Coturnix japonica: one gene and its partners. The main gene of each other region encodes a partner of the protein of the gene in region 2 in a complex. Links are inferred from orthologs where the notes say so. Each region holds a gene or a part of one and is shown on either strand. Other genes may lie near its edges.

The links.
Region 1: the proteins of NMT1 (region 2) and HPCA are in contact, whole or in part, in a crystal structure (PDB 7OWM), measured with the Homo sapiens proteins. The link is inferred for Coturnix japonica from reciprocal best matches to the Homo sapiens genes NMT1 and HPCA. Residues at the interface, in NP_066565.1 of Homo sapiens: Tyr180, Val181, Glu182, Asp183, Asp184, Asp185, Met187, Phe188, Arg189, Phe190, Tyr192, Ile245, Asn246, Phe247, Thr282, Ala283, Gly284, Tyr296, His298, Ser300, Lys310, Phe311, Ser312, His313, Tyr401, Leu403, Ser405, Tyr420, Gly468, Ile469; in NP_002134.2 of Homo sapiens: Gly2, Lys3, Gln4, Asn5, Ser6, Lys7, Leu8, Arg9.
Region 3: the proteins of NMT1 (region 2) and AIFM3 are in contact, whole or in part, in a crystal structure (PDB 6SJZ), measured with the Homo sapiens proteins. The link is inferred for Coturnix japonica from reciprocal best matches to the Homo sapiens genes NMT1 and AIFM3. Residues at the interface, in NP_066565.1 of Homo sapiens: Tyr180, Val181, Glu182, Asp183, Asp184, Asp185, Phe188, Arg189, Phe190, Asn246, Thr282, Ala283, Gly284, Tyr296, His298, Phe311, Tyr401, Ser405, Ile469, Gly470, Asp471, Asn473, Leu474, Leu495, Gln496; in NP_001373743.1 of Homo sapiens: Gly2, Cys4, Phe5, Ser6, Lys7, Pro8.

What each region holds. Positions count from the first base shown.
Region 1 is NC_029538.1:4,643,916-4,654,069, reverse strand, and holds HPCA (neuron-specific calcium-binding protein hippocalcin), read right to left. Parts: upstream 8,805-10,154; 5' UTR 8,687-8,804; coding exon 8,650-8,686; intron 6,737-8,649; exon of another isoform or gene 6,629-6,736; intron 5,650-6,628; coding exon 5,213-5,649; intron 4,924-5,212; coding exon 4,818-4,923; intron 4,542-4,817; coding exon 4,444-4,541; 3' UTR 4,132-4,443; downstream 1-4,131. Other genes in the region: E3 ubiquitin-protein ligase RNF19B, read left to right, coding at 52-196, 317-479, 814-928, 1,036-1,176, 1,529-1,736, 2,353-2,484, 2,678-3,167. UniProt on the Homo sapiens protein: Calcium-binding protein that may play a role in the regulation of voltage-dependent calcium channels. May also play a role in cyclic-nucleotide-mediated signaling through the regulation of adenylate and guanylate cyclases.
Region 2 is NC_029542.1:815,995-826,051, reverse strand, and holds the start of NMT1 (glycylpeptide N-tetradecanoyltransferase 1), read right to left. Parts: upstream 9,301-10,057; 5' UTR 9,248-9,300; coding exon 9,120-9,247; intron 4,932-9,119; coding exon 4,823-4,931; intron 4,288-4,822; coding exon 4,143-4,287; intron 3,272-4,142; coding exon 3,153-3,271; intron 2,967-3,152; coding exon 2,875-2,966; intron 2,453-2,874; coding exon 2,336-2,452; intron 1,938-2,335; coding exon 1,767-1,937; intron 1,398-1,766; coding exon 1,289-1,397; intron 725-1,288; coding exon 554-724; intron 1-553.
Region 3 is NC_029530.1:8,945,322-8,955,440, forward strand, and holds the start of AIFM3 (apoptosis-inducing factor 3), read left to right. Parts: upstream 1-3,767; 5' UTR 3,768-4,255; intron 4,256-8,148; exon of another isoform or gene 8,149-8,375; intron 8,376-8,646; 5' UTR 8,647-8,768; coding exon 8,769-8,799; intron 8,800-10,119. Other genes in the region: NACHT, LRR and PYD domains-containing protein 1a-like, read right to left, coding at 271-413, 921-968, 1,143-1,190, 1,406-1,649. UniProt on the Homo sapiens protein: Induces apoptosis through a caspase dependent pathway. Reduces mitochondrial membrane potential.

The DNA of each region.
Region 1 (10,154 bases), on a different chromosome or scaffold from region 2:
ACAAGGAAACCCCCCGTGCTCACACTGCTCCATGGCCTCCTTCCCCTGCAGCGGACGACATCAAGCCGTGCCCGCGCTGCAGCGCGTACATCATCAAGATGAACGATGGGAGCTGCAACCACATGACATGCGCCGTGTGCGGCTGCGAGTTCTGCTGGCTGTGCATGAAGGAGATCTCCGACCTGCATTACCTCAGGTGCTTTGCCTTCAGTGTTGTCCACTCACTCCTTGAGCTTTGGGTCTGTTTCTGTGGGAGTTGGCTTAGGGTTTCTCAGGGATCGCTCAAGTTTTAATGTGTTTTCTTCCTTCCATTAAGCCCCTCTGGCTGTACATTTTGGGGCAAAAAGCCATGGAGTCGCAAGAAGAAGATTCTCTGGCAGCTGGGCACGCTGATCGGCGCTCCTGTGGGCATCTCCCTCATTGCTGGCATTGCCATTCCTGCCATGGTCATTGGCATCCCTGTCTATGTTGGGAGAAAGGTAAGGATGGCAAAGCAAGCGGTGGGAGCAGAGGGATCCGAGCTCGGGGCGTTCTCCATGTTCTGTGCTCAAGGCATCTGAGCAGCAATTAGGGCTCTTGGGGAGGGTGGGTCTCTTCATAGAACCCAAATTCAGTTATCTTTTCTGAGCCCTGTCTTATCTCCTGGGCTTTGTGTGGGGAGAGGAGGCAGCGGCTGATGGCTGAATCCCCTGAGATGTCACACTGTGCCCCACCCCAGGCTGGGAGGAGGAACCCTTTTGGCACACCCCATGGCGGGGGCTCATAGTGTCTCCTGGTGTCTGCATTCTCACCTGGTGCCTGTCCTTCCCTCAGATCCACAGCAGATATGAAGGGAAGAAAACCTCCAAGCACAAGAGGAATTTGGCCATTACTGGAGGGGTCACCTTGTCTGTCATTGCCTCTCCAGTCATCGCTGCTGTCAGTGTAGGTAGGTGGGCACTGCATGGTTCCCTTCTTGCATGAGCATGGCTGGAAGTCGCAACCCAGAGAGTCTGCCCAGCAGAGCTCAGCCTTCAGCTCCTCTTCACTCTGCAGGTATCGGGGTCCCCATCATGCTGGCTTATGTCTACGGTGTCGTGCCCATCTCGCTGTGCCGTGGTGGGGGCTGCGGGGTCAGCACTGCCAATGGGAAGGGCGTGAAGATCGAGTTTGATGAAGATGATGGACCAATCACAGGTAGTGTGACAAGGGGGAGGGGAAGGGGCAAAGCGGGACCCTCTCACTGACTCTTGTATTGAGGTGAGGGGGGACTGGATAACTCCCAGATCTGAACATCAGCCTACTTCGGTTTAGCTAGGAGGAGATAGAATTATAGAATCATAGCATGGCTTGGGTTGGAAGGGACCTTAAAGATCATCCAGTCCCAACCCCTGCCCTGGGCTGGCTGCCCCCAGCTCAGGCTGCCCAGGGCCCATCTGTGGCCTTGGGCACCTCCAGGGATGGGGCACCCACAGCTCTGGGCTCCACCAATGCCTTGTTGTCCTCTGAGTGAAGAATTTCCCTGACTCCCTGCTGTTCCTCCCCACAGTGGCTGATGCCTGGCGAGCCCTGAAGAACCCCAGCATTGGCGAAAGCAGCATCGAGGGGCTGACCAGTGTGCTGAGCACCAGTGGGAGCCCCACGGATGGGCTCAGTGTGATGCAGAGCAACTACAGTGAGACAGCCAGCTTTGCAGCGCTGTCGGGCGGCACGTTGAGCGGCGGTGTGCTCTCAGGAGGCAAAGGGAAATACAGCAGGTGAATGGGGCAGGAGAAGGGGCTGGAGTTCCCAGGGCTGTGCTGGCTGAGCAGCTTTATGTGGGGTTCTGCTTTCCAAGTTGGGAGGTTACACCACGGTTTTACATGATGGTTTACTTCTCAGCTTGACTGCTGAGTAATTGGAGATGTGTTGATATGGCAGCCAAGATAGAGCCATGGCTCAGTGCTGCTTCTGTGGAAAGCTGTTCTTCTCAGGAATTACATGAGTCATGGATACAAACACTGCTTCAACTTTGCCATGGGAAACTAAATGGATTTCAGTAAATGGAGCCAAAAATTAAACTAAACGGGGGGATCCATCGGTGTTGAACACCGCTATGCCAACCTGGGCCAGCACTGAGCCCTTTGCTGACCTGTCACAGAAACATAGAATGGTTTGGGTTGGAGAGGACCTTAAAGACCATCCAGCTCCAACCACCACTGTGGGCTGGGTGCCCCCCAGCAGCTCAGACTGCGCAGGGCTCCATCCAACCTGGCCTTGAACACCTCCAGGGTTGGGGCGCCCACATCATCCACCTCATGGCACACAGAGAATGTTTGGTGCCCCCTGGGGACCACCTGAGGCATTTCTGAGCAACCCTCTCCCTTCCCGCAGGCTGGAGGTGCAGGCAGACGTCCAGAAGGAGATTTTCCCCAAGGACTCTGTCAGCCTGGGGGCCATCAGTGACAACGCCAGCACACGGGCCATGGCCGGTTCCATCATCAGCTCCTACAACCCGCAGGACAGGTGTGTGCTGTGGGTGTCCTGGAAATGTCTGCTCTGCAGGGGGTGGTGGGGTGCAGCAGGCTGCTCCCTGGTGGCTGCTGGCTGCATTGGTGCTGTGCCGGCACTGGAATGGAAGCACAAACCTCCTGCGCTGCGGTGCCCGTGGATGCCCTGGGCTGCAGCAGAAGTGATGCAGGGGTGCTTGTTTCTGCAGGGAGTGCAATAACATGGAGATCCAGGTGGACATCGAGGCCAAACCGAGCCACTACCAGCTGGCCAGCGGCAGCAGCACAGAGGACTCACTGCACGTCCACACCCAAATGGCAGAGAATGAGGAAGAGGAGGAGGAGGAGGACGGGGAGGAGGATGAGGAAGAGGAGGACGGTGAGCAGGAGCAGACGTGCAAACACCAAAGCTGTGAGCAAAAGGACTGCGTTGCCAGCAAAACCTGGGACATCACCCTGGCACAGCCTGAGAGCATACGGAGCGACCTGGAGAGCTCAGACAGCCAGTCAGACGACGTGCCCGACCTCACCTCGGACGAGTGCGGCTCCCCCCGCTCCCACAGCGCGGCCCCCTGCCCGCAGACCCCCAGTGCCAGAGGTGCTGAGAGCCCAAGTGCCCACCTGAGCCACTGTGCCCACGCCGAGGGCTGCAGGCTGGACGAGATGGTCACGCTGGAGTGCATCGAAGCCCGGGTGTGAGGTGCCCTCGTGCCCTAAAGCACACTGCTGTCATTGCATCTGCTGGGGCAGGGCTGTGTCTGTGGCTTCTCACAGCCCCCCCCTCGCCTCGGGGAGCTGCTGTTTCTTACACAACAAAAAAAGAAAACGGAAAATGCCCCCCCAACCCCCGCCCTCTTTTTGTTTTAATTTATTGGTTCAGGCTCTGTGAGGTGTGTACGAGTGTAAATATGTACGTGTGTCTGTACGTCTGCCATCGTCCGAAGGACCATTTGAATAAAGACTCTGGTTGTCCTTCGCCTCGCATCCAGCCCATCCTTTGTGCAGTCCACCCTGTGGTGCCTTTGGGTGCCTGTAAGCACCACCACAGGTTGGGCAGAAAGCCTGGTTCTGGAGATACAGGTTCAGCCTGTATCACCTCCTCGAGGGGCAGCAGTTTGCACACCAGGCTGCCCCTGCACTGCCTCGTCCATCCAGGGTGGCACATCCCCGGGGCTGTCCCCATCACCCGGCATTATCCAGCTGCAGTGTTCAGCCCCTCTCCTCCCCAGACCACCGTGATCCCAGCAGCAACCAACGGGTCTTCATCTTCCTCATCATTGGGCTCCTCACCTTCATCAGCAGAGCCCTCACCCATGGCCCCATGCTCTGCTCCCTGCAGTGTTCTGCCCTCACCTCTCAGTGCTCCTCTGCTCCCACCTGCAGCTCTATGTGTCATGTTGGCCATCCTGCTCTGTGTCCCCCTGCTGGGTGGGGGCAGGGTTTGTCCACCCAAAGCTCTCCATCCCCAGGTCTCCTTGCAGCCCCCTCCCACAGGACCCATCCCCATCCCAGTGCCCACCCCCCAGCACGGCGCAGCCATGGGGCAGCACTAAGCACTGGATGCTGCTCACTGCTGCCCAGGATGTGAGCCCATCACTGTTGCCCTGGTACTGCTGCAAGGGAGGTTGGATTCGGAGCTTATAGGAAAGCCTTTCCCCGCTGCTGACTGCACTGACACACACTTTATTTTGCAGGTATTAAAAGACTGAAAGCACAGCCCCTTCCCATGGACCCATGTATGCTCTGGCTGTGGGGAGGGGGCTGGTGTGGCAGTGTCTGCATGCTGGGGGGTGCTGGGGGGGCTGTGTTCATCCCCTTGGCCGTGTCCCTGTGCCAATCAGAGGAGCAGCAGTGGCTCTGCCATGCTGCACCACACCCCTGGTGCTCTGCCCATGGGGACATGGAGGTGGGGACAGCAGGGACGAGTAGTGGTGGCAGGAGGGGGCGGTGGGGGCTGTGGGGACCGTGGTGGGGCTCAGAGCTGCCCGGCACCGCTGGGGTCACACTGCAGCAGGCGCACGATGGATGGATCGCTCTTGGCACCTTTGATGAACTCCTCCAGAGACAGTTTGCCTGCGGGGAGACACAGCTCAGTGCAGCAGCTTCCACCCCACCCAGGAACACGGGGCCACGGGGACCGGAGACCTCCTGGGGACACCCCCAACCCACCAGCTGCCCGGGGTGAGCCCCCATGTGTGACCAGCAGCACTGTGTGCACCCCGAGCCCCTCACTGCCAGGGCTCCCCCCGACCGCGCAGCATTTAATCAGTGAGCACACAGCTCCCTCTAAGACCCCCGGATTTAACCATGAGACCTTTCCCTTAATCCCCTCCTTCCCCTCTCATTTACCATCATTATTAGTATCCATCTGTCGGAAGATTTTTTCCGTTCTTTTCTCCGGAGTCGATTCATCTTCTGGCATATTCATGACGGAGGAGACCATTTTGTAGATGGCCTGGGAAAAGGACGCAGGGATGGGGACAAGGCTGATGGGGACAGAGCTCACTGCCACCGACCCGAGGATGGGGACAGAGGGCTCCCTTTGCCAGGGCCGGTCCCAGATAGGGCAGCAGCCACCTTGCAGGAGGTGGATGGGAGCTGCTCCTGCAGTGCCCGGTGAGATGTCACCAAATCAGCCTCATCGCTCCTTCTCTGACACTGCTGCCACCAGGCTGGGCTCTGGGCAAAGGGGATGCACAGGAAAGGCCACCACAGCCCCCAGGACCACGGAGGGCACCACGTACCTGCACGATCTCCAGCATCTCCTCCCTGCTGATGTAGCCGTTGCCATCCAGGTCGTACATGCTGAATGCCCACTTCAGCTTCTGCTCCAGCTTCCCGCGGGAGGTGACGCTCAGTGCAATGATGAACTCTCGGAAGTCGATGGTGCCGTCGCCGTTGGTGTCGAAGGTGCGGAAGACGTGCTCAGCAAACTTGGAGGCATCACCATATGGGAAGAAGTTGGCGTAGATCTTCTTGAACTCCTCCACGTTGAGGATGCCCGAGGGACAGTCCTTCAGGAAGCCTTTATACCAGCCCTGCAGCTCCAGGTCGGAGAACTCGGTGTTTTCCCGCAGGTCCTGGAGCATCTCGGGGCGCAGTTTGCTGTTCTGCTTCCCCATGCTGCTGGGCACGCCGACCCCAAGGGAAGAGCGCCTGGCCCTGCTCGGGTCCCTGAGTGCTACAGAAATGGGGAGGGATGGGGCAGCGCTCCCTGGCAGCCCCCAGGCGCCCACACGGAGGTGTGAACCGCTGCTGATCCCTCCATCCCGCTGTCCCCTCTGAGCCTCTGGTGGCAGCCCCAGGGACAACGCAACGCAGCGCCAGCCCCCGCCCTTTGGGTAATACGCCCTTATGGGTCATTTGCATAATATACTGGGTGATATATAGGTGGCATCAGGAAGGCAGAGCAGAGCTGAGGAGGGGATTCAGCCCGGTGAAGGGCTCCGGTGCAGATCTGAATGGATCTGGGTCAGCTCCCTCAGGGGGGGGGTTATTTTTGGTGCCTCCACTGTCTCCGTTTGTGTTTGGTGCCTCCGGACAGCTCTGCAGCTCCGGGGAGAGCCGGGGGCCACAGTGCCCCCTTTCAGCCATAGCCCCCTCCCTGCACCAGAGTGCCCAGTGGGGACCCCAGTGAGGGCTGGGAGGGGCGGGGGTGTCTGCAGTGCCCAGAGTACCACTGCCCCAACCCCCTTCCATTGAGATAAAGGTGCACAGGATTCCCTGTGACAAAAAGAGCCCCATAGGGACTCCCTCCAAGGACTACGGGACCCCCAGCCCCTCTCCATCTCCTCTACTGTGCAACGTTGCAGCTCAGCATCAGAGCTTTGTGCAGAGAGTCTCTGAAAATGGGCACAGCTGGGGAGAAGGACGGAGGGGACCCCCAGGGAAGATACATCTGGGGCAGGAGGGATCCACAGGGAACTCCCCCCAGGGAGGGGACTACAGGGACCCCCCCTCCAAGGGATGGTGCCCCCGCGGTGGGACGCACCGGGGGACACCCGCAGGAAGGTGCCGCGGGGTACGGGCGGACCGGGAAAGCCCCGGGGCGGGGGCTCTGCAGCCGCCGGCAAAGAGGGACGCACCCGCAGGGCTGAGGCTGATGCTGTCCCCGTTCCCCCCATCTCCCCCCGGTTTCCCCCGGTCCCGCCGCCCCCTACCTGCCCGGGGAAGAGCCTCCAATGCCGCCTCTGTGCGCCAACGGGGAGCGCCCTCCGGCTGTGCCCGCCGCAGCGCGGGGCTACGGGGCGGCACCGGCACCAGGGGGGGCGCGGGGGGGGCACGACGGGCACCGGCTGCAGTCAGCCCCCGCCCGGCCCGGGCTGCCCCACCCGCCTCGAAGCCCCGCACCCCCCTCAGGCACTGCCGAAGCCACAGCTTTGGGCTGCTCTTGCGAGGGCTGGCACTGGGCTGGGCTGGTGCTGGGAGCCCATCAGTGGCTCAGGTGCCTGCAGCCCCAGGTGGGCACTTTAATGTGGTCCTGGGGAGGTTTTCAAGGGCGTTTTTGGAAAAAAAACCCCACTCAGCTGTCACTCAGGGTGCAATTCTACTCCTTGGTGGATGGGATGGGGTTGCACAGCCCTCTCTTTGGGGCACCACTCTCTCCATCACCCCTCCCAGCACATCTGCCAACCCCCCCAATCCCCTCAGAAGGAGCTGCAGCTCCAGAACCCCAAAGAGATGGAGGAATTGGAGGCCAAGGGCAGCTCCCACCACCCTGCTGGCCCAAGAGGTGCCCAGCCAGGTGCTCTGGGGTTAAAAAGGGAACTTCTGGGTTGGGATCCAGGCACGTGTCAGGGGTCACCACTCAGAAGATAGAGCAAAGTGGCCTCCAGCAGCCACCCCTACACCAGGAAAAGGCACCCACAGAGCCAGCTGCTGCCCAGATGGAGCGACATCCCCACGGGTTTTCCTGCCTTCCTGCACTGCTCCATCAATTGGCAAAGCCTGGGATTGTTCCGAAACACCGTTGGGAGCAGATGGTAAGGGCAGATGGGAGGAAGAGGAACCCGTCTCTGAATTACACAAATAAATATGCATAAAGTGATTAAACCCACAGCCCTGACTCTGTTTTGGGGGTATGGGGAAGGGGCCAGGGGGGAGTTGGGGCTCCACTTCCCTGCAGTGGGACGCATCTGCCACCACGCGGGGACCTTGCAGGAAGAAGCAATTGCTGATAATAAAAGCAAAGTTGGTTTCTTAGTGTTTTTCTCTCCTTTTTAATAGCTGTGAGCACTGAGCTCAAGGGGTCTGTGGGATCAGCCTGGGCTGGTAACAAGGAAATGGTGGTGAAAGCAGCAGGACATGCAAGAAAGGTGAAAGGAAGGGACTAAAAGATAGGACTGGAAATGGGGCTTTGGTGTGAGCAGAAAGGTGAGGAAGATGGGGAAATATGGCTGTGGGATGTAAAGGCTCCCTGTGTGCTGGGTGCTGCTGGCAGCTCCCTGCAGGTGGGGGTGCCTTTTCCCCTCCAATAATCTTCATATCTATTTTAATCCCCCTCTGAATGAGTGACAGAGGGCACAACTGATGCAGGATGATTTGAAAGCATCCCATTTGACTCAAACCCGGCCCTAAAACCACCTAATCCCCCACACTGAAATGGATCACAGGAGGGAGAGGATAATGCGGGGTGCGGGTAGGACCACGCTGTACCATCAGACCCTCTGCAGTGTACAAGGTCCCTGGGCTGGGGGTCAATGGTCCCAACCCCTCCCCTCCATTCCCCATTCCTCCATCCCCAGCAGTCCCTGCTGTGTGCCCTGTGGGATGCTGTGAGGAAGAGCAGGCAGGACCCCATCATTGCTCGGCTGTATCCCCACACCCTGTTCAGCCCTGGAGGACGCGGTGAAGGTGAGCAAAGTGCGGGGTTGGGGCTGCAGGGATAGCTGAGGATTAAATACAAATGCCCAGATAATGAGGATCTTTGGTAAAAAGCCCATTTGTATAATTTAAATCTCTAATAGGCTTCCTGGAATACAAAGCCCTTTGTGATGCCCAATCTCATCTGGATCAGGAGCTGCTCGCTCACTAAATCTTGACTTAGAGCCATGGGGATGCAGGGACGTTTCATAACAGAGTGGCTTCATCCCATGTCTCCATGTCCCCATATCCCCACGTCCCCATCCCATATCCCCATATCCCCTTGTCCTGGTGCTGTCCCAGAGCACACAGCACTCACCTGGCCTGGACAGCTCGGGGGCTGCAGCACACGCCATGGCAGGGCCAGATGCAGCTGCCAACCCAGCGGGGTGAGGGGAGAGCACCGAGAGGGGCGCGGGCTTGGATCCATCCTTAACCCCCCACAGCTCCCACGGGACGGAGGTGTTCAACCACCAGTACCACCAACACCGCGACGACCACCACCAGAACAACCAGAACAACCAGAACCACCAGAACCACTAGAACCACCAGTACCACCAGTACCACCAGTACCACCAGTGCCACCGCCTCGCGTCCCTCGGGCTCCCTCTGGCGGTTCCTCGCCCCGCTCCGGGGCGGCTCGGGAGCTCCGGGTCCTGAGTGGCACCTCCGTGTGTTCGGGTGGGGATTTCACGCCCCGCTCCTCCGAGCCGCCGGTTCCCCGGCTCCTCCCCCGTGGCTAAGAACCGGCGGTCACGTGTGGGCGCGGGGCGGTTCCGGTACCGGGTACCGGCAGGTGGCAGCAAAGGCCCGTGGCGGTGCCCGGCGTGGCCCCGGGGCGCAGCTCCAGCCCCGGCGATGTGCTGAGCCCTTTGCCGGGCTGCAGCATCAGGAGGCGGGGGCTGCCCCATGCTCAGCATCCTCCGGGATGTGCACCCCGAGACGTGCAGCTCCCCATGGACGATGCCCCTCCGCTCTGCAGCGCCGCAGCCTGCAGCTCCTGTGGGCCCGAGATGGAGCAGAACAGGGATGGCCACATCCCCTGGTGTCCGTCTGGGGATGGAGATGGGACATGAGTGCGTTGTGTGCCTAAATGCTTAATTAGAGCTGTGACTTAATTGCTGCACTGAAGACATGATGAGTGTCGCGTGATTTGAATGTTGCAGCGCTGGGACTGGGGAGGCTGAGGAGGAAACAGAGCCATGGCAGCATGACAGAGCACCCCTAATTCCTCCCCGATGGTGGGAGGGGAGGGGGGACAAAGGGATAAAGCAGCGGAACCCACCAATGGTGGCAGATGTTGGAAGGAGCAAATGTTGTTCCTATATTTGGAAAGGGAGGGAAGGAAAAAACAGGGGACTGTGGCATTAGCAGCCTTCAGCTTCTGGAAAAATACCAGAACTCATCACAGCCCTCCTGCAGGAACCGGGCTGTGCTGGGTGAGGGGAACAGCTGGGGCTCACTGCTGGGATGGGACGGCTCCAGCAGGAGGATGTGGAGGGGAAAGCAGTGCTAACCATGTGCAGGGCAGGGAGATAGAGCTGTTCCTTTTCAGTCCCATAGGGATTATGCTTGGCATAACCATAGGGACCAAGTGGATGCTCCTGGAAGACCACCACCCGCTCCGCACCCCCAGCAGTGCAGGAGGGATATCAGTACCAGGCAGAGCCTGAGGGATGCTGCCTGACACACTGCGGGGTCAGACACGTTTATGGCTGCAATGAGGGTGCACAGGGCTCGCTGAGGCCCAACCGATGCCCACACAAGGCCACGCGGTGTGGTGGCTGAGCCGATTCCTCCAGCAGATTACCATAAATCAGAGCG
Region 2 (10,057 bases):
GTCAAACGTGTGACACCACAGTGTGTAAGGACTGCGTTAAAGCTTGCCCAGAGCCTTTAAACTATAGAATGGGGGCACTGATCTGTTCTCTCCTCTGCTTCTGGACCACCCAGCTCCCTCCTGGAGGGGCGAAACTCCCTAAATTTCCACATGGGGTTTTCAGTTTCAGACTGCTGCACGTGTACGGGTGTATGGATGGCTTTGAAGTTATGGCCTTGGACTGGGTTTCATTATGCATCACTCCATTTCTGCCTCCTCTGCAAATGCCCTTTTAGTTTCCCTGCCATAAAAATGTGGAGATGCGGCACTTGGGGACGTGGCTGATGGGTATGACAGGGATGGTTTGGGACCTGGTGATCCCAGAGGTCTCTTCCAACCGTAATGGTGTTGGGAGTGGGCACAGTGGGGTGGGTTGGGGTTGGACTCAAATGGTTCTATGATTCTAAGAGCTCGCCGAGCGCTGGGGCAGCCCCTGCATGGGAAGCAGCACCCTGCAGCAGCTCACACCAACATGATCCCAAGAAAACAGCTCTGCCTCATTCTTCCCACTCACCTCCACCACAAAGGTGTCAATGATGTTCTCCTGAGGTAGGAACCAGTGCTCCACCTCCTCTCGGCTCATGACAGGCGTCAGGTGGAAATGTTTCAGGTACTCAGTCAGGAGCTTGTGCACTGCAGGGATATCTTTGTGCTCCATCGGCCGCAAGCCGGGAGTCTTGGGGGTCTGCAGAAAGCAAGACAAGTCATTTGCACCACTTAGAGGGCAGCTGTGTCCCCAAAGGACCACCTTCACCTCTGAGCTGAGATGTGGGTCAGACTTTCTGCTCAAAAGAAAGAATAACAGCCTTCTTCAAATGAAACAAGCAGCTCCCACCACCAGAAGGAAACAAACAGGGGTAGGGTGGGTGGTGGCAACCTGAATGCTTTGTTTTTCTCCTCTATCCAGATGGGGAAGTTCCCCAGCAAGAGAACTGCAGTGACAGAACTCATCACTGTGACTGAGGAGTGAGGGACTGACCCAACTCAAGGTGACCGTGAGGCTGTTTGGACAGATGAAGGCTGTCACATCTGCATTCCTGTTCTAACAGGAGGACGGGATATGAGTCACCGCGAAACAAAAGATCGCAAGGGTCCTCTGGGTGTGAGGATTTGCCCTCAAAATGCAGGTAAAATAAGCAATGATTCAATAAAACCTAGTGGCTTGATAAAGCCATTTACTACATAAGCCAATGCCAGTTCTCCATGCAGAGGATTCAGCCTCCGCTGAGGTCTGTGTGTGCTCACCCACCTCGGGCAATCGGTAAAGCTTCATGGTGCGTTGCATAGTCATGTTCCTGCTCAGGTGGGAGAATTTGACCTCAATGAGTTTCCGAGGATTCAGGGAGCGGTGCCAGTACCTGCACAAACACATCTGCTGGGGGAGATTGTTCGTGGGCAGCCAGAAGGAGCATAAGGTTCTCAAAGCTGCCATAAGAGGGCAAGCAAGAACACTGCAAAGGGGTTGGCCAGGAGTTGCCAGAGAGAAAAACAAGAGCGTGTGCAGTGGAGCCTCCTGCCTTGTGATAAAGGAGCAGCTTAAGCAAAGCTGCTCGAATAATCCCTGAAGGACACTGCAGGGAGGAGAAACCTGGGCTGGGGTTGACGTGTGCTGCCCCAGGGAGCCCCACACCAATAAGTGCAGCCATCCCCATCCTACACAGCACGGCAAGGGGCGCTCTGCAGAGCTTTTCATCGGTCCTAAATCTATTCAGAGAACTGGAGCTCACCTGCATGTCCCCACAGGCTTTGGCAGCACCACTCCTGCTGTGTAAACAGCCTGAAAGATCCCCTCCAGGTGAACCCTCCGTGTGATCTCGCGGATCAGAACCGGAGCCACTCGTTTTGAGCGCAGCTTTTTGTGGACACACAGGAAGTTTATCTCCACCATCTTCTTCTCTCTGAGGAAGGAAATAATGCAGAGCGTGAGACCTGACTGTGCTGACCGGGGTCCAACGCCCTGAGCAATTTAATTCCAGCTCCCCTGAGACACAGACAGGTCCCATGAGAGGCCAAAGGGCAAGGCCTGGCTTTGGAGAGCTCTCCTTGAAGCTGCCACACAAGGTTTTCCCAGGAAATATGGTCTCCAACCAGCCCTGGGGGATTTCTGTAGGGCAGAGCTCCTCACACTAGTGGTGAAAACAGCCCTCAGGGCTGTTAGATACATGGCATCCTTGCAGCCCATCCTAAATATCCCCTGCCTCATCCTCCAAGCAGCCAAGCATCTCCATGGCTGAAGGCCATCGCCCTGGAATGCCACCAAGGGACAGGATGAGAAACTCATCTGAGCAGCACTTACGTCTCGTAGATGTGGATGGTGGCAGGAATCGCACTGATAAACCCAACCAGCTTCTTGCTGGAGACCACTCTGACCCCGCAGTGCCACTGGGGCAGCCAGCCTGGGGGACGCAGTGCCCTGGAGAAGAGACACACATTGGTGGTCACAGCACACCCAAGGTCCTACACAGCACTTCCTGCTGCCTCCAACCTCCCTGGGACACCCCAAAACCTGCTCAGTTTGACACCCAGTTGACACCCAGGCTTGAGGAAAGAGGCAACCACAAAGTGACAGTGCAGGAACACTGGGAGGCATTCCTGCACCTTCTGGCCAAGGCCACTGGTGACACAGGAGGAAATCTGCATTCCTCAATTCATGAACGCCCCGAGGAAACAGCAGCTCAGCTGTAACAGGTCTCCAAGTGCTACTGCTGGCAGCGTTACTTGGCAGTCACCTTCATCCTGCAGCTCTGGGTCACTGGGAAGCAGCTGCAGTGCCATGGCCGGGGTTAAGCCCGCAGCATCCCGCACCTCCTGCTCTGCGGCTGCTCTGCCACTCACCACAGCAGGAACTCAGGAGAGTAGTCGAAGCGGAACATGTTGTCATCATCTTCCACATAGTTCTCGTTCAGCAGCGTGTACAGCTCCTTCAGCTAAAGGAGAGATCGAGGAGGTCAAGTGAGTTATTCAACCAGCACCGTTCAACTGCTGTAGCCAGCAGCCCTGAACCAGGACCCACAACACTTCTGCTGTGTCTTCAGCACTCCAAAAATCACTTCCAGCTGTCCAAGCACTGAAGCACGTGATGGGGACTCACACACTAAGCTGCCCCTACTCACCACGCCTCTGTCCCCAAGGTCCAGCGCATCCCAGGTGAAGCCCTGGGGCAAAGTGTACGGCTCCTGGCGGATGTTGTCCTTGTCTGGTTCAACAGGGCCGTGGGTGTTCACCACTTCTCCTGCCAAAGAGAGCAGGGAACTATGAACGTTACCTCCATCCCCACGGCATCCTGTCTGACCATCCCCATGGCACCTTGTCTGGGCACTCTGCACCTCAGGCAAAGCAGCCACAGCAGTGTGGCTGTCAAGAGAAGCACAACCCAGTGATGAGGAGTCACCTTCAAATGGCACTGAAAGTTTCCAGGCAATGAGGCGGCCAACAAAGCCCACTGCAAGAACTGCTCCCATCACACCTCTGCTTCTGGAAGTGCTCATTCATGGCAGCACACTCTGCTTTGAGCAGAGATCTGAAATCTGGCCCCAAAAAGCTGCGTGCTACCAGACCCTAAACAGCCTTGTGCATGTAACACCGAGATGGACAGCGAGATGCATAGAACACTGAGATGGACAGCGGGGCAGTCAGCCCGAGCACAGTCAGCAGTTTGGTGCACTGTGGCTGTTTGGTGCCTCTCCTTCCCCACCCCTTTCACACTGTACCTCCCACCTAATGGGGTTTACAGGCACAGAAGCGATGTTTGCCACGTCAGGATCCTCTGGTGAAAGGGGCAAACACAAACCAGGCTTTGCTGCCCCGGTAACCCCCTGCCTGCTGTATTCCACAATGATTCCCCAGCACAAGCACAAAAAGAGACCAAAGCTGGGTATCACTTCCAGCAAACAGCCCTTTGAGACCAAACAAAGCCTCGGACAGGTGCTGACAGCGTGAAAAGGGAATCAAACGCGGTGTCTGCAGCAAGAGGGGCTGGGAACTGCCCCATGAAGATCATGCAGACAATCTACAGCCACAGCAACGTCAGAAAAACCTGCATAGTATGCTCCCATCTCCTGTGAGGGCTCATTGGGGCAGCCTGGGGGCTACAGGGCACGTACCGAGCTTGGGCACCGGTTGCGTGTCCCAGAACTGATAGCTGCGCTTGCTGGCCTCCTCCATGGTTTTGGCAGGGCCCTGACCTACAGAGAAGAGCTCAATGGCTTTCTGAATCTCCTGGATCCTCTCAGCGGGCAGAGAGTTGACCTGAGGGTAAAAAGAGAAAGGACAAAATGAGGATGCTGAGCTTGTAGGCCTGTTTCAGCTCCTTGTTAGGAGGGCTGGGGGTACCAATAGGGTACAGACAAATCCTGCACTCCCCGCACTCCTGGCTGCTAGTCCAGGGCAAAGCCAAGAGGGGCAGACAGCCCCTGCTGCTGTTCTTATGTTAATTAAGCAAAAATCAACACCAAGGAATGTCATCCAAGAGTAGGAAAATGGGTTTGTTGTGCTGGCAGCCTGGCTCGGTGGCACAGAGCGGCCGTTCCCTGCCATCCCTGCTCTGATTTCGGGAAGAGAGGCGCCAGTCTGAGCCTTTCAGTGGAGCTGGCTTTGATACCCAGCTCCGGGCTGCATTCACCCTGCAGCAACACCTCCCGCAGCAGTGGGAATTCCCATGCACCGAGCCAGCAAATCACTCTTAAATCTGAAGGCTTTCAAGCAGCCAAGTGCCTGAATACAACAGCAGGCAGTGTCAGCAATGGGATCATTCTGATTGCCCTGAAAGGTGTGAGAAGCTCACCTTCATTGGCTGGTCCTGAGCCTGGTCAGGCTGATCTCCTTTTTCTTTCTTCCGTTTTGGTTTCTTTTTCTTCTTTTTGGCTCCGCTGTCATTCGCTGGACTCAAGCCACTAAGGAACAAAAGAAACATCATTGCGGCTTTTGGGCTGGTTTGGTTTTGGTGTTGTGTTTTTTATTTTGAGGGCACTTACACGGTCTCTGAAACACTCAAAGGAAAATAAAAGCTCCCTGTTTTAAGCCCTGACCTCACAGCCCCCTTCCTTCCCTCGTCCTCCAGCAGAGGACCAGCAGGTTGACATTGGTACCAATGGATGCATTGGAGCCACCTGAGCTGGTGGCCAGGACCAAGTGCTCCCCGCCCCCGTGGTTAGAGGCTCCAGCAGCTTCCACACCAGGAGAAACCCCAAAGCCAAGAGATCTCTGCGTGTGGATACATCCTCAGTCCAGGGACCCACACAGCACTGCTCCAGTCCAAACTCCTGCTAATGAGTTCAGCCCAAGTGGCATCATTTAACCAACAGGTAGAAGATGGGAGAAAATCCTCCTTGATTTATGAGTGAAGATGTCGTGAGCAGGAGGAAATCAGAGCTGAGTGTTCTGCATAAGCAGATTTCAGCTGGGAAATGAATGCAGCCCATCAGGCAAAGCATGGAGGAAATGTAATGTGGTGAATGGGAGCTACGCCTGAGTCCTTGGGACTCACAGCCACTCTTAGAGGGATTTTCAATTTTAAACCCACTTAGCAAAGCAAATAGCAATGGTTAGAGGTGTTGTCTATTTTAAAGTCCATTTAGCAAAACAAATACTGTGCCCAATCCCCTCTAACTCCCCAAATTAACCCTCGTGCCCTGCAGAACTGCAAACATCCCCAATCGCAGCACACAGGGCTGCTCTCCATCCCATCTGTCAGAGAACAGACAGCTCTGCCCAGAGCCCATGGCTCCCCAAGATGTGCTCACAGCCTTTTTCCTCTCCTATCTCGTCAACCCAAGAGCTGCTCTGACAGATAACATGGGTGGAGAAAGGCTGCACTACCAGAACTATCTTAGCACTTGGGGACGTGGGTTACCGACATAACAAGGATGGGTTGTGGTGTGACCTGGTGATTCTGGAGGTCTTCTCCAACCTTAACGACTCTTGAAAGAGATGTTAAGGCACAAGATGAGGTGATCTGAGGCAGCCACAGAAGGGACTCCATCCAGAGGGACCTGGGCAGGTTTCACAGGTGCCAAAGGCCAGGCTGGATGGGCCCTAAGCAGCCCGACCACCAGCCCATGGTGGGGGGAGGTGGAATTGCATTGAGGTCCCATCAAACCATGATTCCATCTCCTCCACACTGAGAAATCAGAGAGGTGACAGATGAGGAGCCGTGTCTGTCCCACATTTAGACACTGGAAAATCCTCCTGACGAACGTGCGTGGCTAATTGGGTGCAGGTAATCTCATTAGGCTGTGGGGGCGGGCAGATGGCAGGGACGTCACAGCGCAGGGCAGCAACACATCATCACTGCGATGTGTTCTGCAGCAAACCAGAAACAGCAACAAAACGCCGCTTTCACATAAAGGAAATGAGAATAAACATGAAAGTGTGACTCTGTGTTGGAAAACAAACTCTATGCTTCAACACAGAGAGGCACTTCCCAGCGCTGACACTGAACCAGGGCGGGGGATCTCAATTCCTCTTTCCTGTCCTTAAAAGGAAAGGAAGTGCTGCTATCGCTCTGTGATAGTGCTGGGTTCTACAGCCCTGAGCCAAGAGCTGATGGCTGTGAGCACAAGCTGGGCACTGGCAGAGGGACAGCCCCGAGCACTGCTCCAAACACTGCCCCTGTGAGCTCTGTGCTGGGAACGGTGCTCACCTTACAGATGTGGCACTGGGGGATATGGTTAGAGGACATCAGGATGGGTTGAGGTGTGACTGGATGATCTTAGAGGTCTATTCCAGCCTTAACATTCCATGAGGGGGCACGGTGGGGTTGGGGTTGGACTGGATGATCTTAGAGTTCTATTCCAGCCTTAATGTTCCTTGAGTAGGCATGGTGGGGATGGGCTGGGGTTGGACGAGATGATCTTAGAGGTCTATTCCAGCCTTAACATTCCATGAGGGGACATGGTGGGGATGGGATTGGACTGGATGATCTTAGAGGTCTTTTCCAGCCTTAATATTCCATGAGCGGACATGGTGGGGATGGGCTGGGGTTGGACTGGATGATCTTAGAGGTCTTTTCCAGCCTTAATGCTCCATGAGTGGGCATGGTGGGGATGGGTTGAGGTGTGACAAGATGATCTTAGAGGTCTATTCCAGCCTTAATGCTCCATGAGTGGGCATGGTGGGGATGGGTTGGACTGGACGATCTTAGAGGACTCCTCCAATCTTAATGACTCTGATTTGCTCAGCAGCACCCAACGCTTCCTACCCCACCCATCAGCCACCATTCATCTCAACAGCTGTACTGGGAAACCACAATGAGAAGGCACAGCAGCACTGAGTGAATGCCATGTGTGCTCTGTGCTTGGCTCTGGATCCTGCAAACCTCATCATGAAAGAGAAGAGGAAAAGAGGATCCTTCCCAAGCACGGCTCAACCCATTCAAAGGAGACACGACGTGAGACACGATGCCACACCCAGGAGGCAAATAGAACAGATCTGCACATCTGTAGTGCAAAAAACAGCTCCTGCAATACATCCTGCATGGCATTTATTGCCTGACATGCAAGATCTCTGAGATGGGGATTGAAAAGCCCTTGGTGCGATGCAGGTGGGTGCTGCTGTGGCTGCGATGTGCCACACGGAGGCACAAACAGTGTGAATGGTGTGAGCTCAATGCACAGCTCGGTTACAGCCCCAACACCCCGATGTGAAGGTGTGAGCTCAGTGCACAGCTCGGTTATAGCCCCAACACCCGATGTGAAGGTGTGAGCTCAGTGCACAGCTTCTCGCGTTATCAAGCCCATTGCACCCCGATGTGAAGGTGTGAGCCAGTGCTCACAGGCTCGAGTTATAGCCCCAACACCCCGATGTTGAAGGTGTGAGCTACAAATGCACAGCTCGTTTTATTAGCTCCCAACACCCTGATGTGAAGGTGTGAGCTCTATGTGCACTAGCTCGTTACAGCCCAGAGCCCCGATGTGGAAGTTGAGCTCAGTGCACAAGCATCTTATAGTCCCCAACACCCCGATGTGAAGGTGTGAGCTCAATGCACAGCTCGGTTATAGCCCCAACACCCATGTGAAGGTGTGAGCTCAATGTACAGCTCCTTTACACCCCACACCCGGTGTTGAAGGGTGTGAGCTCAATAACAGCTCGGTTACACCCCAACACCGCCGATGTGAAGTGTGTGTGAGTCAATCGCCAAGCTCGGTTTAATCCCCAGCACCCCGATGTGAAGGTGTGAGCTCAGTGCACAGCTCGGTTAATGCCCCAACACCCCGATGTGAAGGTGTGAGCTCAGTGCACAGCTCGGTTAATGCCCCAACACCTACAATGTGAAGGTGTGAAGCTCAGTGCACAGCCTCCGTTATAGCTTCCCAACACACCCCGATTGGTGAAGCGTCTGTGAGCTCAGTGCACGCTCGTCTTAATCAGCCCCAAACCCCGTGTGAAGTGTGAAGCTCTCAATGCACAGCTTCGGTTACAGCCCCAACACCCCGATGTGAAGGTGTGAGCTCAATATACAGCTCGGTTACAGCCCCAACACCCCGATGTGAAGGTGTGAGCTCAATATACAGCTCGGTATAGCCCCAACACCCCGATATTGAATGGTGTGATCTTCATATGCACAGCTCGTTATAGCCCAACACCCCGATGTGAAGGTGTGAGCTCAATGCACAGCTCGGTTAATGCCCCAACACCCCGATGTGAATATGGTGATGAAGCTCAGTGCACAGTTCGCGTTATAGCCCCAACTACACCGATGTGATGTTAGTCAAATTCATTTACAGCCTCGGTTAATGCCCCAACACCCCGATTGAAGGTGTGAGTTCCTCAATACGCTCGTTATAGCCTCCAACACCCGATGTGAAGGTGGCAGCTCAATGACAGCTCATTTAAAGCCCCCATTCTCCCCCGCCCCCATCCAGGCCCGGTCCCGGCCGCAGCCCCAACACACGCTCACACACATAGGAGTGAATGGACGCCAAACGGCCCGCCCACACGCCGATTGACAGCCGTCTCGTGCAATCGCACCACGCGATATTATCTATCAGCCAATCAGCGCGCGCGAGGGGCGGAGCGGAGCCGACTTCCCGGCCGCTGCCCACCTCAATGCTCCCCGCCGTCCCCCCCCGCCCCGCGCTCACCCGCGCTTGGAGCCGCGCTCCGCTTCGTTCTCGCAGTCGCTGCAGTGCTCGTGCTCGTTCTCCTCCGCTGACGGCCGGTGAGGCTTCGCCGGCGGCCGCCTCGCTGCTGTCTCACTGTCGTCCGCCATCTTGAAACGGGGCCTCGGCGGCTGCCGCACCCCCACAACAAAGCGCGCTGTGACTGGGCGCCGCGCCGCGGGGCATGCCGGGAGCGGTAGTCCGAGCGGGAGGGAGGGGGCCGGGCCGGGCGTGGGCGGGAACTACAATTCCCATCAGCCTTTGCCGCACCCCAGGCTCATTCTACCCGAGGGGTGGGACAGATTCCAAAGCGGGCTGTGCTGATTGGCTGAGAGGAGTACCCTCAGTTCCTATCAGCCAATCCGCGTGTGCTATACTGCGTGGTGCGCGAAGCCGGCAGCGGGTGAGTGCGTGAGGGGGCGACGCTTCGGGCCTGGCTGAGCGCGGCTGAGGGGCCGCGGGTCGCGTTGGGCTGAGGATCCACACGTTAAAATCGTGGTTTATTTGTGATTATTTTCCCTTTGAACTTCACTTTCGATCATCGCCGGAGCTGGGCTCGGACTGAAGCTGGTGCACTTTGCCCTTCAAACCCTCGGCTCCTTGGGGTGTGTTGTTCCATTAGGCCTCAATGTTGTGTGTGGTAAAATCACCCCGATTCCCCCCGTTCCTTCTGGGTTTTTCTTTCCTCTTGTTTCTTGGATCCGTCGCTTTGGTTCATTTGGCTCCTGCCCGTCTGCAGGGAGGGACGAGCGTCCCTGTGTGCAAATCAAACCCTCCATCATTAAACCACAGGGCTCGGGTGGTCTCTGTGGCCTTAAAAGTGCCGACAGACTCCATTGCAAACAGCCTTTAATGCTGCTTTACCCCTCGGTAACTCCAGCAGCTGACAGTGCACTGAGCTCTGTAACAAGGTTTGTTGG
Region 3 (10,119 bases), on a different chromosome or scaffold from region 2:
TCGTTGTGGATTATGCAGGGCTTATTCTGTTCCCCATCTATCTACAAGTGCAATAGGATGTGTGCCCAGGGAGTAACAAGTCTTACTATTAATGACTGAGGCAAAGAGGGCATGAGGAGAGGCCTACTGGAGGTGGCAGAGGACTACCCAGCTGCAGGACACAACCCTGTGGAGATGGCTGCGGGATCAAGGAGCCCAGCCTTACCCAGTGACCAGACCTGTCACACTCCTCCATCTGTCCCAGGCCTCAGGCACCCTACCACACCTTACCTCTACACTTGTTGAGGTGATTCCTGCCAGAAGGCTCTTCGTTTCTATAGTTAAGTCAGCATGTGCTGAACCACCATGCAGTATTACCATAGAGGAAGATCGTGATGAATCAGCCTGGTAAATTCGTTCTTGATTATCTGTAGCTGGAAAAAGAAGATGGTCATTGTCTCTACAGCTCACTGCAGTCACCTGAAAGGAGGATGCTGCTGAGGAAGGTGTTGGTCTCTTCTCTTGGTGACAATTGATAGGAAGTGAGGTGGCACTGGGGAGGTTCAGGCTGAATGTCAGGAAGAATTTGTTCCCAGAAGGGGTGGCCAGGCATTGGGACAGGCTGCCCAGGGAGGTGGTGGAGTCCCAGTCCCTGGAGGTATTTAAGGGACATGTGGCTGTGGTCCTGAAGGACAAAGTGTAAAAGTGGATTTGCAGTGTTAGGTGGATGGTTGGACTTGATGAAATGGGACTTTTCCAAGCAAATTGCAGCCATCCTACCTTCACCCAGTCTTCCCCATCCCACCAGCTACATATCACACAGGTGCACCACCGCATGCTCCCAGATTTACCACAGCTTCCATGTATGAATCGGACACACACTCAGCACCCATGAGGATCCCCTCCCTCCACAAGAGTGCCAGTGAGGACTGTGACCGTACCTGAGACATCTTCCTTGCCCTCTAGTGCAGCTGAACCACCACCTCGGACTGCAACAGCAACACAAAGCAGAGGAGAGCTCAGGTTCCCAGTCCCATCAGGGGAAGCATTCCCCCACATGCTCCCAGATTTACCACAGCTTCCATGTATGAATAAGACACACACTCAGCACCCATGTGGATTCCCTCCCTCCACAAGAGTGCCAGTGAGGACTGTGATCGTACCTGAGACATCTTCCTTGCCCTCTAGTGCAGCTGAACCACCACCTCGCGCTGCAACAGCAACACAGAGCAGAGGAGAGGTAAGGATCCCGGTCCCATCAGGGGAAGCATTCCCCCACATCCATTTCCCTTTCTGCCCTCCCCTCCCAGTTCTTCCCTCCCATGGCACAGGGCTCCCTGGTTGACGGTCCTCTTGCCCCTTCCCCTTGGCAGCCCGAGGCCAGCCTGCTCCCATGGCCACTCCCCGAATCTGGGCTGGTACTTACACTTATGAAATTGTTGTATGCTGCTGTTGGAGGTAATGTTGTAATGTCGCAGAGTTTGTTCATTCATCAGCCGCTGTCCATCATGAACCAGTCTTGACTGAGAAGGGTAGAAACAGCTATCCATTGCAAATAGCTTCATATTCAGGTCCAGCACCGTGTCGTCCAAAGATACAGGCACAGAAATATTTTTTCCTAACTCAGACGTCACAGAGATGGGGAATGTGGAGCTGCTCGTGGTCTCCATTGTCTCTGCTTTGAGACTTTCAGCCACACAGCGATGTCTGTGGATGAAGGTGCACAAGATTCTCACGGCCACAGACGGCCATCCAGGAACAGGCGGCTGCCCACAATTCTTCCGCGTATGTCACTTCCCAAGAAAGTGAAAGCACGGAGAGACTTCAGGTAATCAATGCACGTCATCACTCCCTCCTCTGGCCTCTGTGCGTCAGGGCAGGGAGATGGGGAGGCAGGGAATGCAGAGGGACAGTGAAGCAGGGAGGCAGCGCTTCTTGCGGAGGGCATGGCTTTCATTAGGACTCCTTCAGGCCCTTCTGTGTGTCACCATGGAGAGCCCAGGTCCATACCCCATACTGTCCTAATTTGCCCCAGTGTGCTTGGCCAGAGAATTATGGGGACACACGTCGTGGCCCTGGTTCATCTATGTCCCATGCTGTTGACTGCAGGCACAGCAGGGCCACAGGGTGGCCATGGTTCTATGGGTGCATGGCTCCAGGACACCACGCATCCATGATTCTATAGTTCTATGGTGCTGTGATTTCATGGCTCTGTGATTCCACAGCTCAGTGGTTCCATGATTCCATGTTTCCATGGTTCTGTGATCAGGAGGCCACTGGCATGCTGCTGCTGGCCATGTGTGTCTGTGAGCAGAGAGCATCTCACCTTCAAAACGGGCTCAGCTGAAGGAAGGAGAGTGCCATGCCTGTCAGCTAGGCAGGAGTTGGACCTCCCCACCTCCCCTCCTGCAGCTGGGGGGTGGAAATTGAGCCCAGGACCATGGGACATGTGTAAGTAAAGCTGCATGAGAAGACAGTCAGCACCCAAGACAATGTCAAGGTTGTATGATGAGTGTGAATACCAGTGGTAATCCAGCACAGTTTGCATTTAGGGGAGACAACTCTTTGCTCTGCACTCAAGGTGGTCTCAAAAATCACAGTGTGAGAACAATGTCTATCTGGGGCATGTGCTAAGAAAAGGGACATAGAGATGCTGACACATCCCCAAACAGGGCATGATGGATAAGGAAAGCAGTTTGCTGCAGAAAATAGAAAGCATGCCAGGCAGGAATGGGAACAGATCCCTGTCTCCAAAGTGAGGGAAAAAATGTGAATGCAGAAGGATGATGTAAAATAAGTGATAGGGGAAAGAGTGGCATTGGCTATTTCCAGCAAAAAGGAATAATTCTGCCCAGGCAGCAGATGGTGATCCTCCCCACCTGGTTTGACAGCAGTGGACCAAAAATTGAGCACCAAGGATTAGTGGACCTTTGCCCCGAGCATCTCAGTCCATATGACAGTGTGTGGCTGTGGTGCCTGCACTGCAGCCTCAGGCTGCTGAGTCCAGAGGAGCTCCTAAGAGCTGGGTGGAAAGGCAGAGATCTTGTTGGTGACAGTGGCCTCCTGATCGTAGAACCATGGAAACATGGAACCACTGAGCTGTGGAACCACAGAGCCATGAAACCACGGAACCATGGAATCATGGAACCATAGAAGCATGGAACCAGAAAATCCAAGCTGGAAGAGACCCACAAGGATCATGGAACGGTTTGACTTGGAAGGGACCTTTAAAGGCCATCTGGCCCAACTCTCCTGTGGTGAACAGGGACATCCACAGCTCCATCAGGTGTTCAGAGCCGTGTCCAGCCTGATCTTGAATATCTCTAGGGACGGAACATCCACCACATCTCTGGGCAACCAGTGCCAGTGTTTCACTACCCTTATTGGACTTCCAGTACCTGAAAGGGTCCTACAGGAAAGCTGAGGAGGAACTTTTTTTTAAAGGCATGTAGAGACACAACAAGGAGAGAAGGTTTTAAACTGAGAGAGGGCAGATGTAGACTAGATATTAGGAAGAAATTCTTTACTGGGAGGGTTGTGAGACACTGGAACAGGTTGCCCAGCGAGGTTGTGGATGCCCCATCCCTGGAAGTGTTCAAGGCCAGGCTGGATGGGGCTGTGAGCAGCCTGGTCAGTGGTAGGTGTCCCTGCCAATAGCAGGGGGTTGGAACTGGATGATCTTAAAGGTCCCTTCCAACACAAACCATTCTGTGATTCTCTGATTGTAAAAAAAAAAAAAAACAAAAAACCAACAACAAAACCTTTTTCCTTATATCCAGTCTTCTTTGTTTGAAACCATTTCCCCTTGTCCTATCACAACAGACCCTGCTAAAGAGTCCATCACAGAGTCCAACTCCTGGCTTCACATTAGGACCACCCAGACCCGATATCTACCAGCATCGTCCAAACGCTCCCTGCTCCCGCAGCCCATGGGAGCAGTTCCATGCCCACCTCCCTCTGGGGCAGAACCATTCCCTACCCCACCACTGACCCTCCCGTTACGCGGCTCCGCGCCGTTCCCTGTCGCTGTCACCCGTTCCTGCGGACAGACGGACACCCGCACCCTCCCGCATCTCCTCCGCCGGTGCATGCGCACTGCCCGCTCCGTGCCATGGTGCCCGGCCGAGCCGCTCCGCACCGCTCCGCTCCGCTCGGTGCCCGCAGGTAGCGGAGCTCCGACCCGCCCCGACCCGCCCCGACCCGCCCGGGGGCGGCCGCGCTCCCTCCTGCCGCCGCGATGCCGCGGTGTCGCGGTGCCGAGCCGGGAGCTGCCCAGGTGAGTGCGGGGCTGCGGCTCCGGGAGGAGCATCCCGCGGGGAAAACGGGGGGTACCGGGCTGCCGGTACCGCTCTGTGTCCGGGTCCCGGTACCGGCTTTGCGGGAGCACCGCGGGTGGTTCGGAACCGCAGCGAGCGCACGGGGTGTGATAGCACCAAGCAAGCGGGCCGCGGTGATGCGGGAAGAAAGCTGCGTTTGTCAGAGCTGGAACAGCAGAACGTTCAGCGTACCCTGCAAGTTTGTTCGTTCCTATTCGGGGAGCGCAGCCCAGCTGGGCGCACAGCCGCGGTGGGGCCGGCAAGGTGCGAGCGGTGCGGTCTGTGCGTGCGGGTGTGATGTGCCTCTGGGTGAGAGAATGGGGGGAGCGGGGAGACGTGCGGTCCCCTCTGGAAGTGAACGTCACATTCCCAGGGTGATGCGTGGAAGTAGAAATGTGGAGGTGTTGTGCTTGGCTGTCAGGCTTGGAAAAAGCTCCCGTGATGAACTCCTGCACTGCTTCGGTAGCAAATACGCTTGTCCCTTGTGCAGTGGTGAAATGGTGATGGTGGCAAGCAGGACTTCCCTCTAACACAGCACTGGAACCTCTTTTCGTTGTGAGACACCTGAAGTTGTGCATCCAGCAGCCCACACACAACCTGCGCTGCTTTTCAGCATTTTAGCATTTATGGGAGCACCTTTGAGATCTGGACCAAATCTCTTGTTTAATTATTAATGTCAGAACATTTTCCATCCAGCTTGCAGAGGACACGTTGGAGCGGTGGCGATGAGAACGCTGCTGAATGAGCCTTTAACCTGGAGCCTCTAAACTGCTGAAGCAGCAGCCGGTGGAACAGTAGTGGCTAATTGCAGCCTGACATTGCTGCCGCACTCCTCCTGGAGCCAGCAGGGCACGTTTGTGGCAGCTTTGCAGCTGGTGATGTGCAGTGGGATGGGGATCCCTCCCAGTTTGTGCACCAGGCTGTGCGTTGCAGTGTGATGGTTTCGGGTGCAGCATCCTGGAGATGGGATGGGACCCGTGGCACAGACGTGGGCATTTCCCTCCCCAGTTGTGCTGTAGGGCTGCTCTATGTGAGTGCGTGCATCCTGGGTAGCACGGCTCCTGAAAGAAGTGCTTCCTGACATCCAGGATGGAGATCCATCTGTTTTCACCCTCGGGCTGTCTCAGAAGCCCAAGTTTTGACCTGCTCTAAAAACGCTGTCCCAGCTCTGCTCTGTGGGACTCTGCTGTCCTCCTGGTGGCTCTTTCCAACCCCTACACTGTCCCCGGGTCAGGGCTTGGGCTGACAACATGTCATGCACAGTGTGGGGTGCTGGGAGTGCCTTGGGACCCCCGAGGCTCTGTCCACACCTGGGCTGTGTTGAAGTAATGCCCTCAGAGGAGAGTTCTGCTTTCCTTGGCAGCACTGCCTGTGTTATTCTGGAGATGGAGCCAAGAGCCAGCCCTGAGACTTTTCAGCTCAGAGGAGTGTTAGCGTTGCTACACCAGGCAGGGGGGGGGGTCTGTCAGAGTGGGGTGACCACTGTGCAGCTCTGGCTCACGTGAGAGCAGATGGTCCCTCTGGTGTCATATACTGGATCTGTGAAGCTGGCTTAGTTGGAGAGCAGTGATGTCCAGAACTCAGCAAGCAGAGGGCTGCCAGCAGGTCTGGGGGCTTTTGGCACTGAGCTTCGTAGGGAAGCCCAGCACTTGGCTCTGCTCTCAGCCTGTGGCATGAGAGGGATGTGTTCCTGCCTCCTCCATTGTCCCTATATTCTCTGTTTGCAGCAGAAATGCTCTGTGCCCCAGGACACAGCCAGTGGGATGGGATGGGATGGGATGGGATGGGATGGGATGGGATGGGATGGGATGGGATGGGATGGGATGGGATGCAGTGGAGGTCACCACCATGGTGGGGTTGTGCTCCATTCTGTTTGCAGGGTGTGCCCATAACAAGTCTCCTGCTGGAGCTGCTCAGCGGTTCCCACTGTGCTCTGTGTGAAAGACAATATTGTGCACATACAGAGAGCTGGCAAGGAAGGAACTCTGCAGTAGATATGGAGAGCTTTGGGATCAAGGATTGTTTTTTTCCACAGCAGGGACCAGAGCCAGAGCCAGCTCTTTCCTGCAAGTGGAGATGGTGCCATCAGGTGCCCTGAGCACAGTCTGCAAACCCAAATCTCTCTCCCTAGCAAAGGCACATGGTCCTGTTTGCACTTTAGAGCCGACAGTTTTGGGACTGAGGACAGATTCATCCTGGATTCCCAGCTGCAGGGAGGGGATGGCAAACCTCACCCCTGGACTCATCCAGCAGGTCCTTCTTGTCCATTTTTTCTTGTGCTGGAGGCCCAGAGCAGAATGCAGCTCTCCAGACTGGGTCATAGAAGGGCAGACTAGAGGGGGACAATCACCTCCATCATCCTGCTGGCCATGCTTCTTTTGCTGCAACCCAGGATGCAGTTGGCTTTCTGGGCTGCAAATGGGCATTGTAGGCTTACATTCAGCTTTTCATTAGCCAACACCATCAAGTTCTTCTTCACCTGTATGTGTGTTTGGGATTGCCCCAGCCCAGGTGCAGGACTTTGCAGTCCTTGAGTCAGAAACAGGGGTTTGTTTGCAAACAACGGGACAGAAATGCAATAAAAAGACAATCTTATTTTATGCAGAGGCAGTTAAAAAATAGCATCTCCTGTTGAGCTTGGAGCTCCAGGACATTCCCTGTGAATATCTGTGCTACAAGTGATTGAGAGCTAGATAAACAAAACTGCCACAGGGAATAGTGCTTGAGGGATCAAGGGCACAGCTGGATTGTTGGTTCTGCAAAGCAGGGAATCATTGACCTGAAATGGCTCAGCCAGGTGAGGGGCCGTGCTCAGAGCCATGGAGAGTGGCAAAGTACTCCAGAAGTGATAGACCTGAGAGCAAAAGATCTTTCCCAGGCTCTGCATCTGACCAGTGGGTGTTGTGAGATTGTCTTGGTGCTGGTATCACTTTGAACGTCTTGACTTCCCATTTCTTAGGAGCTCTACATCTGGTGGAAGGGGTGTGGATGAGGCACCTGGGATGGCCTCCAGCTGCCATGAGTGGATATCCATGTTCTTTGTCATCCATTGGATCTCGGCCTTTTCTGCTTATAGATGTCTGAGAGGTGTGGTACCCATGGGGATCTCCAGGTGTTTGTGGGACTTCCGACCTCACCGAGGTCCACTGTTTTAAGCTTAGAGTAGGGTTACCTTGCATTGCTCAGAGATTGGGAGATCATGAGATGACCTGACATCCAGAGACCTTCTAACCAGGATCCTGTGTCTCTACAATGGCACTTGGCTGTGGGGCTCCCAGATGGGAGTTTCACCCTGTTGCTTGTGGGGCTGAAATGGTGCTCATGGTGCTTGCTGTGAATGGCTGTAGGACCCTGACCATGGGCACGTCAGGCATCTATCAACCTCCCATCCTCTCCCAAGGGTCAGCCCAGGAACAGCCCATCCCTCCAAAGGGCCCTTGGGGACCATCAGTAGGGGAACTACAAAGGGGATTGCTTCAGATTGCTGCCTTGAAGGCTCAAACAAAGCATTCACTTCATTCAAATGGCCGATACTCATGGGCAGGCACCCTACGAGCCCCTCAGAAACCAGCCAGACCGGCTGGAAAGGAGTCCTGCAGCCTTGGGCTGTGCATTGGCATCTCTGCAGGGTTGGGAATCTTTGCATGGTATCTTTTATTGCTTTACAGTAAACTGTTGGCCTATATCACTGAGACATCAACAGCTGAGACTCTCTCTCATACAGAACTGTTTTCCATTTCTTCCTGTGAGTTTTGGCAAAGGTCCACAGAGCAGCACAGCAGATACTGCATGTGACTTTGCTGCTGTATTTTTCCCAAATCTTCTGCATTTTTGTGCCTCCTTTCTTGACTTTTTATTTATTTATTTTTCGGCATTTACTGTTGCGTAAGCGTTGGCATGCTGCTCTCCTTGGATGCTCTCACCCTTGCCACTCAGTGACTTGGCTTTTCCCTGTTCCATTCCCTCTGCAAATGAGCTTGTCTGGGAGCTCTGCACAAACCTGATGGCTCTTTGAGGACTGGATGTAGGTCTCATAGCACATTCCTGGCTCATCCACAGGGACCTGCACAGGCTTGAGAGGTGAGCCCATAGGAACGTCAGATGTGCCCCATCTCCAGTGTTGCTCCAGGCCATGGATGAGCTCTGGGCAGCCTGGTCTGGTGGGGGCAGCCAGCCCAGGGCAGGGGTTGGGGCTGGGGGCTGTAAGGTCCCTTCTAGCCCAGCCATTCTTGGAAATGGTTAATTCTAGCCTTCCCAAAGGCAGGGCTTCAGAAAGTTATTAAAGCCTGGAGATGAACCAAGTGACGCTGGTGATTTAAAACTTCAGAAGAGTTTTTTCTGCCCCATGCAGGTGCTGAAGGACGCCTGAGGCCCAGTGCCAGTGGGCGGCTGCCATGCTAGACTGTGCCCATCCACTCGCTGCTCTGCCCACCATCCCTGCTGTGTGCCCAGCACGGTGCTGCTCTGCTCACCATGGGAGGATGCTTCTCCAAGCCCAAGCCAGGTGAGATGGAAGGATGAGGGGATGTAGGTCAACGGCAGCTCCACGGGCACCGCTGGGGAATGTTAATTCTGTGCTCCTGCAGGGAGGATTACTGCCTGCTAATCCCCTGAATTCCTGTGCTCTGCCTTCAGCTGGAGTCCTGTGGGGCTGTGGGGCCGTGTGGGGCACAGGAGGTTCTGTTGGAGGTTCTGGCATGTGCCCAGCCCTGATTCAATGCAATGCGTCCAGAAGCTGCTGGGACATCTCCTATCTCACCCCACAAACTCCTTTAGCACTTATTGGGGCCAGGTGGGCTCCTACTGTTGGGCAGCCTGAGGTGTTGGTGTGATATGGGTCATGTCTGTGAGCCATCAAGTGTCCCTAGCTGGCCATCCTGGCCTTGCAAGGCACAGGCACACAGGTTTTATTGAGACACAAAGAGAAAATGTAAGGTTGGTTTCTGCTGTGTGCAGAGGTTATTTCAGTGGTCATCACAATGCCCAAGGAACACGGCACTGCACACTGTGGGCAAGTTTCTATCCTCCCACTCACTGTAAGTCTTCCCCTAGTGAGGAACCACTCTGGCCTTCCTTGTTAAAAAGGCAGAGCACACCTAGGAATAAATGCCCCCATTGAATAAACTTGCAACAAAGTCCGCTGGCAGCTCCGCTTTATTTTGTATACCATCAGCAAGATTGTGTTTAATCTTGGGCTGATGCAGGAATAAAAGCGCTCTGCGGGCGCATTTCCTGAGCTGCATATTTTTGTGTCAAGCTGTATTTGCATAGCAGGGCAAGCTCTAAGAATGCCACCCTGTAATGGAACACTCCTTCTGCAGCTCTGTTTCTGATTAGCAGCCTTCAGGAGGTTTTGACAGCAGTTCCTCAGCCCCTTGTTAGCACACACTGCAATGCTTCACCCCGGTGCTTATAAAACCTCCGAGTGCACTGAGATAAACAGATACGGATTTGCAGATGCTGATGGTGCTGGCAAATGTTTCACAACCTGTTTGTGACGCTTGCTTTCCATGCTGCACTCACATTTCTCTATGCCAGAAAGACCTTTTGATGGGCAGAAAACCAGAGCAGGAGACCCGCAGCACCAAACAACTGCATGCACTGATATAAATATCAGCATTTAATTCAGAGCTTGCGTTCAAGTAGTGACGTAATCTCTTATCTCCAATGCTGCAGTCGTGTGACCCCAGACTCCATTCCGGAGCTTGGTTCCCAGTCTCTGCATAACTATGTTGGTGCTTGTGAGGGTGTGGGGGCTGCATGTCAAGGCTGTTCCTGTGCCTTCCTGCCCTTGTCCTTGCTGCTGGGAGGTGCTAATGCCTAG